2 linked regions of the Arabidopsis thaliana genome follow. The protein of the gene in region 1 purifies or fractionates together with the protein of each later gene. This does not show direct contact. Each region holds a gene or a part of one and is shown in the gene's direction. Other genes may lie near its edges.

Evidence for each region.
Region 2: the proteins of RAPTOR1 (region 1) and TOR purify together in Arabidopsis thaliana (affinity purification with western blotting; 2 studies listed by BioGRID, with this or other methods). This does not show direct contact.

The regions. Positions count from the first base shown.
Region 1 is NC_003074.8:2,692,400-2,697,245, reverse strand, and holds the start of RAPTOR1 (Regulatory-associated protein of TOR 1), read left to right. Parts: upstream 1-1,845; 5' UTR 1,846-2,334; coding exon 2,335-2,643; intron 2,644-3,007; coding exon 3,008-3,110; intron 3,111-3,221; coding exon 3,222-3,304; intron 3,305-3,383; coding exon 3,384-3,542; intron 3,543-3,633; coding exon 3,634-3,750; intron 3,751-3,861; coding exon 3,862-4,019; intron 4,020-4,583; coding exon 4,584-4,738; intron 4,739-4,835; coding exon 4,836-4,846. Other genes in the region: PYD4 (PYRIMIDINE 4), read left to right, coding at 42-155, 263-349, 449-492. UniProt on the Arabidopsis thaliana protein: Probable component of the plant TOR kinase pathway that recruits substrates for TOR. Modulates plant cell growth and regulates the activity of ATPK1 kinase in response to osmotic stress.
Region 2 is NC_003070.9:18,536,996-18,541,629, reverse strand, and holds the start of TOR (target of rapamycin), read left to right. Parts: upstream 1-1,634; 5' UTR 1,635-2,010; coding exon 2,011-2,175; intron 2,176-2,398; coding exon 2,399-2,737; intron 2,738-2,815; coding exon 2,816-2,890; intron 2,891-3,067; coding exon 3,068-3,240; intron 3,241-3,608; coding exon 3,609-3,707; intron 3,708-4,023; coding exon 4,024-4,183; intron 4,184-4,251; coding exon 4,252-4,395; intron 4,396-4,532; coding exon 4,533-4,634. UniProt on the Arabidopsis thaliana protein: Essential cell growth regulator that controls development from early embryo to seed production. Controls plant growth in environmental stress conditions. Acts through the phosphorylation of downstream effectors that are recruited by the binding partner RAPTOR.

The DNA.
Region 1 (4,846 bases):
TTTCTTTATTGAATATCTTATCCTTTCTCTAATTTGTTTAGTCATTGGAGACGTGAGAGGGAGAGGATTGATGCTAGGAGTTGAGTTTGTCAAAGACCGCGACTTAAAAACTCCTGCAAAAGCAGAGACCCTTCATTTAATGGATCAAATGAAAGGTTAGTTGTGTTCAATCCTAAACCAAGTGAAATTGATCACTCTCATCATATAAAGTTGATACTTATGCATTTAAGATAGTGTTTAATACAAATCTTTTGGTATCAAGAAATGGGAGTGTTGGTGGGGAAAGGTGGATTCTATGGGAATGTCTTCAGAATCACTCCTCCTCTCTGCTTCACCCTCTCCGACGCTGGTTAGCTCCTTAGTTTAACATATATATCTTCAAATTGGTTTCTTTTTGTTTCATTTTTTTATTCATGATTTATGTTGTTTCAAATCTTGTATTTTGTAGATTTCCTCGTGGATGTGATGGATCACGCCATGTCCAAGATGTGATTTACTATCTTTATCCGTTCTCTAATGATCACTCACCCTTGTATGTGTATATAAATAACACAATACATCATAAAGTAGAATTACAATTGGTGTTTACCGAAATATATCACAGATGCAAGTATATGTAACTAAATGTACAGTACTGTATACACTTGATAGAATCTACAAATAAATAAAAAACTCGCTGCTAATGATATTCCACAAATACATATATTGATCCGAAGTTTCGAGTTTAGAGTAAAACTTGAATGATACACCTGTGGGGCAAAACAGTTGGTCATCAAAGACGAGGAAGTGGTAGAAATGGCGGCGCCGCGGCGGAGTAGGAAAACGATGTCCGGAGAGCTGTCCTGATCGCGGAAACGAGACTCGTCAGCACGAATATAAGTTCTTCAAGTATGCATAGTGTCTTTCTTATCATCGAATCTTCTTGTTTTCTCGATGCGAGATTCCCAAGTGAGAGAGAGGGAGTTGTGATATTTTTCTGCTGACTTTTAGATATATATGGCCTTTGATAATGTTATTCAGACAAACAAAGTGTCAGCTTGATGTTTGTGTCCAAAATTGATAATATAATGGAATAATTGCAAAACGGAACCTGAAGTTTTGATTAACATGGAATTTGAACCCAATATTTTTTCCCTACACCAAATTTTTAGTTTTTCGGTTTTCATTTTTTTACCAACTACAATAAACCCTAGATGAATTCGGTTTAGAAGACCAGACATTGCTATGTAAGAGTAGAAAAACCGTTGGTGTTTAGATTACACTAATTTAAACGTTATAACACAAAACTGATTAAAACATAAATATACTTATGAAGCGTGTGCAATGATGATCCCTTCATGTACCCCGTTGTACGGAATCCTAGAGGTGATTCGAAGAATTTATGGTAACTCACGTAACAAAGTGTCAGCTAAGTAATTTATGGTTACGAAAATACAATTGTCTCGTTTAAAAAAAAATTAATATAGTTTTAAAAAATCTAATATCGTTTTTAAATTTAATATCATTTCTCTGTTACTAGTTTAGTAGCTTGAATTTTTGTTTTCGTAATTAAACTAGACTGATTTTTTAAATTTAGATTTAGACCGTGATTAGAATAAAAGTGAGTTTTAAGTTGCATTTTAATCAAAGAATCAGATTGAATTTGCGATTAACTTCTCAGTTAATTAGTCGATCCATTGATGGTGTTCTTTGAATTTGTTTCTCAATGATGCATACAAAATTTCAATTTCCACATTTTAAACATAAATTAATTTTAAAATTATAGATATTTAGTATACCTCTCAATCTTATAATATTAGTATTTAATAACATTGCATTAAAGTTAGTAATTAATTAGAGTGGATTTTTGATCTGAAGAGGGTAAAACTAAAAACGGAAAGGAGAAAAAGAATGAAAGAGAAGTGGAAAGAAAACGCAAATGCATTGAAGACTTTCCCTTTGTCTCTCTCTTTGACAAAATCCCAATTTTCGCATCCTCACTTTCTCCTCTGCCTTTTTTTTTTCTCTTCTGCCGCCACCACCACCACCACTGTTAATTCGCCGCCGCTTCCACATCAATCGCCGTCGTAGCCAATCATCATCGTTCTTCATCCTCCGCTTCTCCTGATTCTTAGGGTTTCCGCTTCCGCTTCTCTGTCGAGGGTTTTTCGAGCTGGATTCTCTGCTCCTGCGCCGCTGGTGCAGCGGCTTTGTTGATTGATCTGGATTTCTCCGTCTTCCTTTCTATTTTATTTTCTGTATCTCGCACAATCCAAACAAAAAAGCTAGGGCTGAGGATTTGATTTGCGTGATTTCTGGGGGTGTGTTAATTCGGGGGTGTGTTCTCCGATTTGGATGGCATTAGGAGACTTAATGGTGTCTCGGTTCTCGCAATCTTCTGTTTCTTTGGTCTCCAATCACCGTTACGACGAAGACTGTGTCTCTAGTCACGATGACGGTGATTCCCGGAGGAAGGATTCTGAGGCTAAGAGCAGTAGTAGCTACGGGAATGGTACAACGGAGGGAGCCGCCACCGCCACCAGCATGGCTTACTTGCCTCAGACTATTGTGCTCTGCGAGCTTAGACACGACGCATCCGAGGCTTCTGCTCCCTTGGGGACTTCTGAGATCGTATTGGTCCCCAAATGGCGGCTTAAAGAACGAGTAAGTTTTCAATCGAACATTGTTGGTAGCTGCAAGTATGTTAGACTAGCTTGTTTAGTGCAACTGACGATGTAAGAGGCGGGTAGAACAACTACATTTTCTAGAATTCATTATAAAATCTGCTATTGTTCGCTACTATGTTAGGTAATGTTAACCGAGGAGGGTTGTGTACTTGTGTTAACGTTTTTATTGTGGAGCTGAACCTTAAAGATACATGTTTCCGTTTCGTTTCAATCTCAATGTCTCTTCAGAAATAATTCTATTTCTCGTCGGAAGCTAAATCAGGTGTTCATTGGATCTGATAGCTAGGGGAGTTCTTGCAAGTCTCATATTCTTTGTTAACTTTTCTTCTTCTTCTTTGCAGATGAAAACAGGATGTGTAGCTTTAGTTCTGTGTTTAAACATTACTGTTGATCCGCCGGATGTTATAAAGATATCTCCTTGTGCTAGAATCGAGGCATGGATAGGTTGAAACTTTGGCCTACTCAATCCTATTACACTCTTTCTTTTCTGTGTTTATCCCTTTTTTTTGTCGCCACAGTCAATTTTATCTCTATTTTTTTTCTTTCTGATGGCAGATCCATTTTCTATGGCACCGCCTAAAGCTCTCGAGACAATTGGAAAAAATTTGAGCACTCAGTATGAGAGATGGCAACCCAGGGTGACAATTTTTTTCCCTGCACCCTATCATTATTGTTTTGTTAAGTTACGCTTTTCTTATTTATTTTATGATTTCTCAGGCCCGCTATAAGGTTCAGCTTGATCCGACAGTAGATGAGGTGAGGAAGCTGTGCTTGACTTGTCGGAAATATGCAAAGACCGAGAGAGTTCTATTCCATTATAATGGGCATGGTGTGCCAAAACCTACAGCTAATGGTGAAATTTGGGTATTTAACAAGGTCTGTTTTTTACTAGCGTTTTCTTTTCTCTACCATGTTCTTGTTCCTTCTCGTCTGTTACCACGAGCTGATTGATTCTCTGTTTGAGCAGAGTTATACACAGTACATTCCCTTGCCAATCAGTGAACTTGATTCCTGGTTGAAGACACCCTCCATCTATGTTTTCGACTGCTCTGCTGCTAGGATGATTCTGAATGCCTTTGCTGAGGTAAAGGAAACAACCACTTCACTTATAGAACACATCTCCTGTCGAGTTTAGGACTCGAGTCTGTAATTTTCGTTCCATAAGTTGATAAAATTCATATACTCTTTACGCCAGCTTCATGATTGGGGTTCTTCTGGTTCCTCTGGATCCTCAAGGGACTGCATTCTACTTGCTGCTTGTGATGTACATGAGACACTTCCTCAGAGCGTTGAGTTTCCAGCTGATGTTTTTACGTCTTGCCTGACAACGCCCATTAAAATGGCGTTGAAATGGTAAATCATCATTCCATCTCTGACTTTTTTTGCGTACTCAGATGTCATGTTTTCTTCCTACAAAATGTAGTTTAAGTTCCGTCTAGCTAAGTTTATAAAATCTTAGCTAGTATGTTCTCGCTTCATCATGAGGTAAGATCAAAACTTTTCGGCAGCATTTTGGATGGGACCAAAGATGGATCATAGAGTTTTGTTTAGAAGACCTTGTGCGTATGTTTTAGTTTTGTGGGGTGGTAAAACAGCATATCATAAGAGTTGTGAGATAACCAGGACTGATAATACCTTTAGCTGCCAAGTCACTTTGCATATGGAAGTTTGCTGATGTATGGTTTGCAATAATTCTTTCTGTCCTGGCTAAGTATTTTTGATGATACCAAAAGATTCACGATATCATCCTGATTGATAGCCTTCTCCTTCTGTGATATTTATTCTATAACTAATTGCTACTGAGTCTGTGCGGTTTCAATTCTGGGCTTCTTTTTAACCTTTTTCCAGTAAACAGATCACCATTTTATGTAGTTCAGTTTAGCTTGCAGCTTTTTCACAAGAGGATTTCCATTGCAGGTTCTGCAGGCGTTCGCTTCTGAAAGAAATTATCGATGAATCACTTATCGACAGGATTCCAGGCCGGCAAAACGATCGTAAGACATTGTTAGGGGAGTTGAACTGGATTTTCACAGCAGTGACGGATACAATTGCTTGGAATGTGCTTCCTCATGGTACTTCTCCAAACTTTCTGCATAATTTATCAAGGGTAAATCTTCTTCAAGTTGACTTCTTTTCTGTGTCCTCATGAATGATAGTTTTACCCTGCAGAACTTTTCCAG
Region 2 (4,634 bases), on another chromosome or scaffold:
TTTTGTTGTTGTTTTATTGACATTTCACACGTTTTATTAAATATATTTCTACTTAGATAACGATTGAAAATAGGAATACGTCGTATACTGTAATTTGTAAGATTTTAATGTAGCTTTTTTTGGCACTGATACTTGATTACTTCTAAAAACTGAAAGATCTTGTAAAATGCAGTTTTTTTAATGGAAGAGAGAAATAATGGAACAGTGGATAAAAAAAAGCCAAAGACCTTTTTGATTTGAAATGATTTAGCTTTTAAATTTTGAAATAAGCTGATGGAAAATAGTTAGAAGTGGATAATTTATCTATCTGTTTATCACTTAGGTTAGATGAATTGGTCCCAAAAGTTGGAGCACGCATGTATATAGTTGGCATCATTATCCTTTGCTAATAATATAAAACTTAAGAAGCTAATAAATTAATATTGACAAAAAAGTCTAAACTAATAATAAAATTCTTCTTTTTTTTTGATGAGGTTATTTATCCTATATGGAAATGTATATGTTATTATTTAAATTCTATACGTATAATGCGTTAATGATATAAAAAATTGAGTTATTTTGTGTCATTTTAACTCTTTTTTAAATAGTACTCTTAGTTGTAGTTTATTAATTTGGAGAGAAAAGAACACCAATATTTTCACCGACATTCTTGTCACGTTATGGGATTGCGCAACGTTAACACTTGGACCCTGTCTATTCACCATCCTTGATGTGTACGATGAAACCAAGCGATGCTATAGCCTCCCACAAGCCACAACTCTTTTGAAATTTTATGTTGGATGTGCTTCGTTTAATTTTCGAATGTAATGCTTATTTTGTCATACACAATCATTGTGATTATTTTCGTTGTAACAACGGAGAAACACGAACTATATTTTGGAGGAGCCATTTCTTTAGTTTTTCCTATACATATGAATATGAATACTACTTAACATACAAGCAAAACAAAAATTTACCATTGGAGAATAAATAATGATTTCTATGATTTAGAATTTTTATGAATAGAAAAACAAAGTTTCATCACATCTAACAATTCAAATCCACTCCATACCAAAAAAAAGAAAAACAATTCAAATTAACTGAATGATATGATTCACATTTCATCAATTTTTCAATATATGATATATCGATTACCATACAACTATTTTACAATTCTACTATTATTTGACATTTTTTATTCAAAATTTGACTAATATTCGATATTTTTTTGTATAGATATTATTCCTCTTATTTATTTAATTTGTTGACAAACTTAACCATATGCATTCAATTGAATTTTTTCATTTTCCCCATTATTTTTGTTCGTAATGACTACTAATTACAACAAAACTATAGTTTATTATTTTCCTACAATTTAATGATCATTTTAAAAACTCCTTATCTGCTTAAAAGCATAATTGGAAATAATAATAATAAAGTGAAATGACAATAAAAGAAAACTTATTCAAGAAACTACAAAGTTATTCCTTGACAAAAAAAGTTATTCTATTGTCCAGTGAACAAATATGAGTTTTTGACTATTTTTTTTTTCACAAGTAATTTTTTTTCTTTGACAAGTGTATATTAAACATTCTAAACATTACATAGCCCAAACAAAGACCCTTTCAGGGTTTTAAGTAATTAATCAGTGACAAAAAAAAATGAAAATATTGTATTTATAAGTTTTTGATAGACAAACATAAGTTTTACAATTTTCCAAGGAAAAAGTCATATTTTCCTAGTAAAAACCTTTCGGGTTTTCCAATTTATTTACCAAAGATAATTGGTCTCTGAAAGAACAAAGCAAAACCTAAGAAAGCTAAAAAGACACTCAGCGAATTGAATTTGTAAAAAAATAAGAGAAAAAATCTTGATTTCTTCTGCGATCTTCGGTTCTCGACGCATCATGTGTTGAAGATTCTTCTATCTTCCTCTGTACATACTCTCTCTCTGCCCAAGTGTTGTTGAACCAAAAAGGGGTCAGATTTAGGGTTTTTGGAAGATTTTTGTGGCTGGACTGGCCCTGCAGCGATGTCTACCTCGTCGCAATCTTTTGTGGCTGGACGGCCTGCATCCATGGCTTCCCCTTCGCAATCGCACCGCTTTTGTGGTCCCTCAGCCACCGCTTCTGGTGGCGGAAGCTTTGACACTTTGAATCGTGTCATCGCTGACCTTTGCAGCCGTGGTAATCCTAAGGTAATGAAGAACATTGTAAAGTATTCTCCCTTTTTATGCTTTAGTAGAAACCCATATAACCCTTTTGCTTTTATTGCTTATCTGACGGAATCTCTCTGTTCTGGTTAATGGAAAATTCGAAGTTTTAGTTCTTATAGGTCTGGCAATTTGTGGGTTTTGATCTATTGTTGTTGGTTTCCATCAAGTATGCGACTTTGTTTATGATTTTTGGTTGTTGTATTAGGAGGGAGCTCCTTTAGCGTTTAGGAAACACGTAGAGGAAGCAGTTCGTGATCTTAGTGGTGAAGCTTCCTCTAGGTTCATGGAGCAATTATATGACAGGATTGCTAATTTAATTGAGAGCACTGATGTGGCGGAAAACATGGGTGCACTCAGAGCCATTGATGAGTTGACGGAGATTGGATTTGGTGAGAATGCTACTAAGGTTTCTAGATTTGCGGGTTACATGAGGACTGTGTTCGAGTTGAAGCGTGATCCTGAAATCTTGGTGCTTGCTAGTAGAGTTTTGGGGCACCTTGCTCGGGCAGGTGGAGCAATGACTTCTGATGAAGTGGAGTTTCAGGTAAGATTGTTTGTTTCCCTCCCCTTCCTATCACTGTCTCGGCTCATAGTTGCTCAATTCTTGATCTCGTTTTCACAGATGAAAACAGCTTTTGATTGGCTTCGCGTAGACAGGGTGGAATATCGTCGTTTCGCCGCCGTTTTAATATTAAAGGTATCCTGATTTCAGCTGCCCGATCCTTTAGATAAGCAGATCATTTTTTCTTTTAGTTACTCAGAAAGAAACTTCTGAACTAATAAATTGGATTATAGATGTTTGAAAAATGATAGTGATGATAACTTTCCAATCCTAAGTTAATACGGATATGGATGTTTTCTTGCAACATTGCAGGAGATGGCCGAAAATGCTTCTACTGTCTTTAACGTTCATGTCCCTGAATTTGTGGATGCTATCTGGGTTGCACTTAGGGACCCCCAGTTGCAAGTGCGAGAACGAGCTGTTGAAGCTTTGCGTGCATGCCTTCGTGTTATTGAGAAAAGGGAGACTCGATGGCGAGTGCAGTGGTAAGTATTCTCTTATCCTTGAAAATGATAATGTCTGAAATGTTTTCCTTAGGTTATGTATTTGGTATGATATTTTTGATGCAAGGCTTTTCTTTGTGTTGTTGCAATACTTTCATTTGCAATCACCCTCATTTAAGTACTACTTTGTATATTTTATTGTGTAAATGCAACTTATATTAGCTTTTTATGCTGTGGTCCCCCCCCCCCCCCCAAAATGGATGATATTCGAATATATATTCTTCCCATGGTGATACGTTTTGCAGACTTTCTACTGCATTTATATATATCATTGCCAATGCAATGTTTCAAATTATCAATAGGGGTTTCCATCTTTATTAACTGATCTTCTCTCAATTTGGCTTTTACAGGTACTATCGAATGTTTGAAGCTACACAGGATGGGTTGGGCAGAAATGCTCCGGTTCACAGTATTCATGGTTCTTTACTTGCCGTGGGGGAGCTGTTGAGGTAAATGCAGAAGTGGTTATCTATTTTGAAAGCATCCCTTTCTTTTAGTCAGACACTCAAGTTTGATTCTGGAATATTTCCGTAGAACAACTTGTTTGTCCCCATGATGCTCGGGTTGTTTTGTTAGTTTGTCTTCGTATTGTAGTTTACATCATTAAAAAAGTAGGCAATTCATGTATATTCCTCCACTCTCAGTGTATACCTGAACAAAAGACTCTTGACGACGAAAATTACGTTGTTTTCTGTTATAAGCAGATTGATTTCATGGCATATTGGGTGTTAGAGTTTACAGCTTAATGCTAGAGTTCGTTTGCAGGAATACAGGTGAGTTCATGATGTCTAGGTATAGAGAAGTTGCCGAAATTGTCCTCAGATACCTTGAACATCGTGATCGCCTTGTTCGCCTTAGCATCACCTCGTTACTGCCTCGCATTGCTCACTTTCTCCGTGACCGGTTTGTGACAAACTATTTAACGGTAAGTGACTGAGAGATTCTTAAAACCAAAAAATTTCTGGAAACGTGACACGAATTACTTTCTTGCAGATATGCATGAATCATATTCTTACTGTGTTAAGAATACCGGCTGAAAGAGCCAGTGGGTTCATCGCCCTTGGGGAAATGGCTGGTGCTTTGGATGGTGAGCTTATCCATTATTTGCCGACAATTATGTCTCATCTGCGGGATGCGGTGGGTCAAATTTTATTTATTTATTTATTTATTTTGTAATTACGTTTTACTACTTTTGTGTCAAAGTATTATATTGGGTTTTAGTTTTGAAAACTGAACTAGACAAGTGGCTTTGTTCGACTATGTTGTCCCTGTAGATTGCTCCACGTAAAGGCAGACCTTTGCTTGAAGCTGTGGCTTGTGTTGGTAACATCGCAAAGGCAATGGGATCCACAGTGGAAACTCATGTTCGAGATCTT